Ovis aries: one gene and its partner. The protein of the gene in region 1 interacts with the protein of each later gene in a pairwise test. Links are inferred from orthologs where the notes say so. Each region holds a gene or a part of one and is shown in the gene's direction. Other genes may lie near its edges. The genes, in order: RFESD and HBQ1.

Region 1 (4,262 bases):
TGGGGATGGATGGGATGCTCAAGAACGTCGGCATATGCGTGTAATATGGCTGATTTTTATAAAGCAGTTTTCCTCCAGTTAAAAATATAAAAACCTATCAGACTCATCTAGCTTCCAACTTTGAACACATGCACGTGTGTGGGTTTTTTGTTTTGTTTTTTCCTCACAGAAACATAAATAGAAAAAAACAAAGTTGCAAAGTTCAAAAGATGAGAGTGAAACCCATCTCCTCCCCCCCCAAGTTTAAAGACCCAATTTTTTAAGCTTATGTGCATATATCTACATTATTTGTATCTAGAGAAATAACTTTTATTTACCCCCAAAGAAAGCATACTACACAGTATTCCATACTTTGTAACAAATTCATTCATTACATCATGAACCGTGCTGGTGAGTATGTGGTTAGAAAGTAATTCACATGTCTACATTGTATTTAACCACTTCCCAGCTGAGGCTCATTTGAGCTCTTGTCACTTTTCTGGCAATAAACACCATTATACATTATATGCTGGAGAAGGCGATGGCACCCCACTCCAGTACTCTTGCCTGTAAAACCCCATGGGCGGAGGAGCCTGGTAGGCTGCAGTCCATGGGGTCGCTAAGAGTCGGACACGACTGAGCGACTTCACTTTTCCCTTTCATGCATTGGAGAAGGAAATGGCAACCCACCCCAGTGTTCTTGCCTGGAGAATCTCAGGGACGGCGGAGCCTGGTGGCCTGCCGTCTCTGGAGTCGCACGGAGTCGGACACGACTGAAGCGACTTAGCAGCAGTAGCATACATTATATGCATCGTGATGAACTCCTATTAAATATTTTTGTGAGGTAAATTTCTGGAAGACAGACTCCGGGTGAGTTCAATAAACACCATTATACATTGACTATATGCATCATGACAAACTAAATATTTTATGAGGTAAATTTCTAGAAGACAGACCCTGAGTGAGTTCAATAAACACCATTATACATAGATTATACGCATCGTGACGAACTCTAGTAAATATTTTTATGAGGTAAATTTCTAGAAGGAAAACCCCCGGGTGAGTTCAAAATCTAGATAAATGTGATGAGCTCAGCAAACGTTTTAAAATGAAGTGGGGGAGCCCACGTCGGTAAAACACACGATTGAGACGGTCAGCTCAGAGGTCCCGGCGGAGCGCGGCGAGCCGGCGGCCGCGGTCAGGCAGGGTCAGCAGCCCGCGACGCCTCAGAGGCCGCCCCGGGGGCGGGCGCGCTCGGGTCACGTGGGCGGTGGCGCCCCGCCCCGCCCGGTCACGCGGAGCGCCACGCGGCCGCCGGCTTCCCTGGCCGGTTCAGTATCCTCACGCGGCGGCGCTGCGGCCGGGTCTCGCGGAGGTGGGGCAGGGACTCAGGGAAGGTAAGTTCTGTTCCCGGCGCGGGCCTGGGCGGCCTCTCGCGGGGCGGGGCTCGCGAGACTAGCCACTTCCGGCCGGGCGGCGGGCCCGGGGCTCGGGCTTCCGGTGGCGCAGGAGACTGGGGGTGGGTTCGCGGTTGCAGTGCTGCATTTCATCCTGGGTCTTCTGAGCGCTGCGGTCCCGCCGCCCTAGACGCAGCTCTCCTTAACGATGAACCCCCAGCACAGGCTTCTGCCCGGGCACTGCGGGCCCATCGAGCTTGTTCACCGTCAAGGCTGGTCCTCACTCCGGACCTGCAGCTTCCGTTCAGTTCAGTTGCTCAGTCGTGTCCGACTCTTTGCGACCCCATGGACTGCAGCACGCCAGGCTTCCCCGTCCATCACCAACTCCTGGAGTTTACTCAAACTCATGTCCACTGAGTGGGTGATGCCATCCAACCATCTCATCCTCTGTCATCCCTTTCTCCTGCCTTCAATCTTTCCAGCATCAGGGTCTTTTCAAATGAGTCAGTTCTTTGCATCAGGTGGCCAAAGTATTGGAGTTTCAGCTTCAGCATCACTCCTTCCAATGAATATTCAGGGCTACTTTCCTTTAGGATGGACTGATTGAATCTCCTTGCAGTCCAAGGGACTCTGAAGAGTCTTCAATACCACAGTGAAAAAGCATCAGTTCTGTGCTCAGCTTTCTTTATAGTCCAGCTCTCACATGCATACATGATTACCGGAAAAACCATAGCCTTGACTAGACGGACCTTTGTTGGCAAAGTAATGTCTCTGCTTTTTAACAGCCGCTTCCCTGGTCCATTTTTTAACAAGCTTTCCTGGCATTTGGCTTCCCTCATAGCTCAGTTGGTAAAGAATCCGCCTGCAATCTTCAGGAGACCCTGGTTCGTATTCCTGTGTCGGGAAGGTCCACTGGAGAAGAAATAGGCTAGCCAGTATTCTTGGGCTTCCCGGGTGGCTCAGCAGGTAAAGAATCCGTCCACAATGCGGGAGACCTGGGTTCGATCCCTGGGTTGCAAAGATCTCCTGGAGAAGCGAAAGGCTACCCGCTCCAGTATTCTGGCCTGAAGAATTCTAAAGAATCGGAGAGGACTGAGCGACTTTCACTTTTCTTAGCATTTGTGCTCTGAAATGTATGAAACTTGCCCCAGGGTTGCCGCAGCCCCAGCCGTCTTGGGTATCCGACTCCTGAAGTCTGCAGGCAGAATGATCACCCATGTCTTGATAGCCACGCTCTGGTTGTCTTTTCGGTTCTTGAGCTTGGTGTTGACAACTGCAGGTTGTCTTGACTCAAACGTTGAACACAGCTTGAAGTCCTTGCCCATAGGCTGTCAGAGCTGGCAGGACCCTTAAGAGATGACCGCCACGGTGATTGCAGAGTTTCCCACCCCCAGGACCCACCCTGGACACTTGACTGTCCTGAGACGTTTGTCCCTACCACTGCACTTAGTGCAGGTCTGCGTTATAGTCGCACACACTGCATCGCAGCGACATTAGCCGACTTCTCACAAGTCAGGCAGAGCTGGGGGTTCAAACCCAGGTGAGTGCAGCTGCTACTGTAAGGTCTCTAATGTCGCAGACGACACCTGCGGATTCCAGGACTGGCTGCGCAACTCTTAAATTATTAGGGAAGATGGTGACTGTAGCCATGAAATTTTAAAAGACACTTGCTTCTTGGAAGAAAAGCTGTGACCAACCTAGACAGCATATTAAAAAGCAGAGACATTACTTTGCCAGCAAAGATCCATCTAATCAAGGCTATTGGTTTTTCCAGTGGTCATGTATGGATGTGAGAGCTGGACTATAAAGAAAGCTGAACACCGAAGAATTGATGCTTTTGAACTGTGGTGTTGGAGAAGACTCTTGAGAGTCCCTTAAACTGCAGGGAGATCCGACCAGTCCTTCCTAAAGGAAATCAGTCCTGGGAATATTCATTGGAAGGACTGATGTTGAAGCTGAAACTCAAATACTTTCACCACCTGATGCAAAGAACATACTCATTGGAAAAGACCCTGATGCTGGGAAAGATTGAAGGCAGGAGGAGAAGGGGAGGGCAGAGGATGAGATGGTTGGATGGCATCACCAAAATGATGGACATGAGTTTGAGTAAGCTCTGGGAGTTGGTGATGGACAGGGAGGCCTGGTGTGCTGCAGTCCATGGGGTCGCAGAGAAGGACACGACTGAGCGACTGAACTGAACTGATTTCGTTTCAAACATTTGTTGACACGAGTCTTGCACATTGGCTTTCCTAAATTAAAAAAAATTCAAGACCATCATCTAAGGATATATATATGTGGAGGGTACACACAAACATCTTTGCGAAAAGGTTTTGTACCTTCAAGATAGTGTATATGCGTGCCACCTATTTTTATAAATCCGTGGATGCTACTTAGATAAAATGGTAAGATTTATATATCAGTCTTCACAAAGTTTAGACATAAGACCTAAGTTTGAATCTTCTCTGTGATTTTGTGAGTTTGGGCAAGCTTTTGTGAAAGTCCTTTACCCTTAGTTTCCTCATCTGGAAAATAGGCATTTTTTCCTGGGGATTAATGAATTCATATATGCAGAGTCCAAGCACTTGGCACTCACTAAAGGTAGCTAGTTTTATCTATTATTCTGCCAGACAAAGAAATCTAAAGCTATGGCATTTCTCATCTCTGAACCTAAAATAAAGGTGTCACCTTGGAGTTTTGCATTCTGATAAGTGTAGATCAAGTCCCCAGACTCAGTAAAAGCAACTTTGTGCTTTTCAGCTCAAGAATAAGAAGAAATTCCTTTAACTTCATGTTTCTTTTGTCCCCACTGTCTTATAGAAACTTAAGTTATGCTGAAAAAGATTCCCTATGCCGGAAAGGTATCTAATAGAGACAGAGGATTCATTT
Region 2 (4,387 bases), on another chromosome or scaffold:
AAACGTTCAAGTCTTGCCTTGAAACGGCCGGGCTGCAGGAACCAGCACCTGGGAGAAGAGACCTGAACCCGGACTTGAACTCCTTGCAAATTCTGTAACCCGCTCTCAGTATCTGTTCCTTCCAAGACTGCCACTCAGTTGCACCCAAAAACTCTCTGCGGAAAGAAAGGAATCTGGGAGCGCCAAGGCTGAAGAGGAACAGGAGGGTTGGACGGCGGTGGGGAGGAATTCGCTGATCACATGCGAACGGTGAGCCAAGTGTGTTGCGTCCGGCTGCCTCTGGCATGGACTAGGCGCACTCAGTCGCCCGTTCCTTCACTGATACTGCCCAAGTTTAAAATGCCCAGAGTGTGCCAAGCCTAGGTCCGGGGTGGGTAGCACGGGCTGACTTACTCCCTTCCGTTCTCAAGACAGCTGGGGAACTCCTGCAGGATGCAGGAGCGGGCATCTACCCAGCTCCACAATCCCACCCCTGCCACCTGGCGCGAGGCTACCACGTCCGGGGAAGGTGGACGCAGCGGGCGGGAAGCAGACGGTGGAAGCAAGAACCCCCGGTCAGAGTCCAGGTCTGGGTGGGTGAGGGAAGCACCCATCGCCCGGCCGGGCGCAGGTCGGACTCCGCGCGCCCCCTGCGGTCCTGGTCCGGCCGCGCATGCCGCGTGCCAGCCAATGAGCGCAGCGCGGGCGGGCGTGCTCCTGGCGCCGGGCGCATAAAGGCTCGCGCACTCGCAGCCCCGCACGCTTCTGGTCCCGACCCAGACTCAGAGAGAACCCACCATGGTGCTGTCTGCCGCCGACAAGTCCAATGTCAAGGCCGCCTGGGGCAAGGTTGGCGGCAACGCTGGAGCTTATGGCGCAGAGGCTCTGGAGAGGTGAGCACCGCACCCGCCCCGAGGGGACCGGGCCGCTCGCCGGGCGCGTCCTTGTCCCGGGCCGCTCGGCCTGAGCCCGGCTTTCCCGCCTCTTCACCCAGGATGTTCCTGAGCTTCCCCACCACCAAGACCTACTTCCCCCACTTCGACCTGAGCCACGGCTCCGCCCAGGTCAAGGGCCACGGCGAGAAGGTGGCCGCCGCGCTGACCAAAGCGGTGGGCCACCTGGACGACCTGCCCGGTACCCTGTCTGATCTGAGTGACCTGCACGCCCACAAGCTGCGTGTGGACCCGGTCAACTTCAAGGTGAGCTCGCGGGCCGGGCCGGGACAGACCTGGGCTAGCGGGGCGGAGAATGCGGCGGCGCCCCCACCCAGCCCCCGCCCCACTGACGTCCCCTCTCTCGGCAGCTTCTGAGCCACACCCTGCTGGTGACCCTGGCCTGCCACCTCCCCAATGATTTCACCCCCGCGGTCCACGCCTCCCTGGACAAGTTCTTGGCCAACGTGAGCACCGTGCTGACCTCCAAATACCGTTAAGCTGGAGCCTCGGCGACCCCTACCCTGGCCTGGAGCGCCCTTGCGCTCTGCGCACTCTCACCTCCTGATCTTTGAATAAAGTCTGAGTGGGCTGCAGTGTCTGTCTGTAGCCTCGGGTCTCTGTCCGCGAACCGGCCCAGGTTCTCATTGCCTCAGACCAAGGAGCTCTCAGGCAGAGAGAGAGAAGGGGAAAACTGGATGGAGGGGTGGGGGTGCAGCCTGCCCCACTGCCACTACCTGGGATTCTCTGGGCAGCCCTCACCCTCAGCCTGGAGTGATTTCTGAGTATCTTGGCCCTTCCCTGAATTCATCCCAGAGCCTTGCATGTTCATCACGGAGTTTTTTGTGCAAATGATCAATTTGTTGGTGGACCTCAAGCCAGGACTCGGAGCTCTCCCGGGGCTGCTCCCAGAGCTGGGTGGTGCTGAGAACACAGAGGCCCTCTGGGTGCCTCCCTCCCCACCAAGTGCCTAGAGGAAGCTAGGGGTGCATAGTGCCCTTATAGAGCCAGGCTAGGTCCTGGAGGCACCTCTGTCACCTGGTACACACACCCCCTCAGGACACCCACTGGGCCATTGAGGGTCTGAAGGCCTGATTTGGGGGGCCCAGCTCAGGATCCTGAGGCCTGCCCTGCCCTGCACTGCCCTGAGGCCCACTGACTCCCCCTGGCGCTGCTGTGGAGAGGAGAGCCAGGGGCAGGGCGCCTACACTCAGAGGTGCTTTCTTCCTGTGGAGAATGCCCCTAGCGCCTGCGGCTTGAGGTGTCCAGTCCTGGCAGTGGTCCAGCCCCAAGCTTTCAGCTTGGGAAGCAGTGTCCTTTCTTCCCTGGGCCCAAGAGTCTCTGTCAGAAAATGGATGGCAAGTTTCCTGCCTCAATGTGCTCTGCTTTTAGCATATGAGCTCAGTAAGAGGCAGTCTTCCTTATTTTATTATTAGGCAAAATGAGAGCCTGGACTAAAAGTGGAAACAACCCAAATGTCCATCGAGAGATGAGAGGACAAACAAAATGTGGTCTAAACAGACAATGGCATGTTACCCAGCCATAACAAGCAATGAAGTGCAAATACAAAAGACCGTGTGCTGCATGGCTCTATTCACATGAAATGTCCGGAATAGGCAAATGCACAGAGGCCAAGAGCAGACTGGTGATGCCCAGGGGCTGGAGGGCAGGCGTTATGGACTGACTGCTGATGGGGACAGCGTTCCTCTTTGGGATTACGAAAAAGTTCTGGAATTAGATAGTGGTGATGGTCACACAGTGAATATGATTAAATCACTGGATTGTACACTTGAAAATGGCTAAGACAGTAAATTTTATGTTATGCAAATTTCAATGCATTTTTTTAAAGGATGTATAGTGATGCCTGGCACAGAATGAGTGCTACATGGGTATGAGCTATTATGTGGGGGATCTATCCTGTACTGTGCTAGGTCGCTTCAGTTGCGTCCAACTCTTTGCGATCCTATGGACCACAGCCCTCCAGGCTCCTCTGTCCATGGGATTCTCCTGACAAAATACTGGAGTGGGTTGCCGTGCCCGCCTTCAGGGGATCATCCTGACCCAGCGATCGAACCCTTGTGTTCCCAACACTCATGTCTCTTAAGTCTCCTGCGTTGGCAGGTGGATTCTTTACCATTAGCGCCAACTAGATTTCTATTTGGGATAAGAAAGTTCTGGAATTAGTGGTGATGGTAACACATAGTGTGAATGTAGTTAAAGACACTGAATTGTACACCTCAAATGGCTAAGACAGTAAATTTTATGTGAATTTCAATGCATTTTTTAAAAAGGATGTATGGTGATGCCTGGCACAGAATGAGTGCTTTATAGGTATTGGCTATTATTTGTAGGATCTATCCTAGCCACTCTGAATGCTCATTGTCCTGAAAAGGGCATCTGCTATGAACCAGGAACAACCTTGGGAAGAAGAAACTGTTACTTTCCTTATATACCATAAATGAGAAAACAGACTGACGTCCAATGCCAAACTCCATGCTAAAATTCAGGGCCACCTAATATTGACACATACTAAATATTAGTTTCCAAAAATAGGGATTTCAGGGTCCAGGGCGATTGGGAAGGCCCCAGGTCAGAGCTGACGCTCCGTGGAGATTTCCTAGACCCCTCCCGGCCAGATTCTGCGACCAGAGGCCCGGCGCCCCCCGGAGGCCAAGGGGGCAGCAGGCCGAGAGGCGCAGGCGCAGGCGCATCCCGGGCTTCACCGAGAGGCCGAGAGCGCGGCAGGCTGTCTCCACGATGGTGCTGGCGCCGGCGGACCGCGCTGCAGTGCTCGCGTTGTGGCGGAAGCTCGGGACCAACGTCGGCATCTACACGACGGAGGCCCTGGAGAGGTGCGCACGGCCCCGGCGCATCAGGGCTCACCTGTCTTCAGCGGGCTCGGGGGATGCGTCCCCCGCCGTCCGGTTCCAGAGCCCTTCCTCCCGAGGCCCCGCCATCAGGACGCGCCTCACTCGCCGTTCCTCCCGCAGGACCTTCGTGGCCTTCCCTTCCTCCAAGACCTACTTCCTTCACCTAAACTTGAGCCCCGGCTCCGCCCAGGTCAGAGCCCACGGCCAGAAGGTGGCCAACGCGCTGGTCCTGGCCGTGAACCACCTGGACGACCTGCCGCGCACCCTGTCGTACCTTCGCGAGCTGCACACGCACAAGCTGCGCGTGGACCCGGTCTTTTTCAAGGTGAGCTCGCGGGTGGGGCCGACGCCCGTCGCCAGGGGAGGGGGCTCCCCCCAGGTAAGGGGTGGTGCACCGCGTGGGGACCACTCTGTATGTCTGCAGCTGCTGTGCCACTGCCTGCTGGTGACCCTCGCCCGGCACTACCCCGGAGACTTCAGCCCCAACATGCACGCTTCACTGGTCAGGTTTCTGAACCACGTGATCTCGGCGCTGGCCCCCAGCAGTGGCTAAACTGGGAGGGTGGTCGCTGGGGGCTCCAGTGTTTGAGTAAAGTCCGCAGACAG

What was found.
Region 2: the proteins of RFESD (region 1) and HBQ1 interact in binary tests that used the Homo sapiens proteins (3 or more experiments, as listed by UniProt). The two-hybrid records come from large-scale screens. The link is inferred for Ovis aries from reciprocal best matches to the Homo sapiens genes RFESD and HBQ1.

The regions. Positions count from the first base shown.
Region 1 is NC_056058.1:92,606,523-92,610,784, forward strand, and holds the start of RFESD (Rieske domain-containing protein), read left to right. Parts: upstream 1-1,313; 5' UTR 1,314-1,376; intron 1,377-2,217; exon of another isoform or gene 2,218-3,150; 5' UTR 3,151-3,778; intron 3,779-4,262.
Region 2 is NC_056077.1:761,384-765,770, forward strand, and holds the start of HBQ1 (hemoglobin subunit theta-1), read left to right. Parts: upstream 1-1,411; 5' UTR 1,412-3,668; coding exon 3,669-3,763; intron 3,764-3,901; coding exon 3,902-4,106; intron 4,107-4,205; coding exon 4,206-4,334; 3' UTR 4,335-4,387. Other genes in the region: hemoglobin subunit alpha-1, read left to right, coding at 778-872, 974-1,178, 1,283-1,411.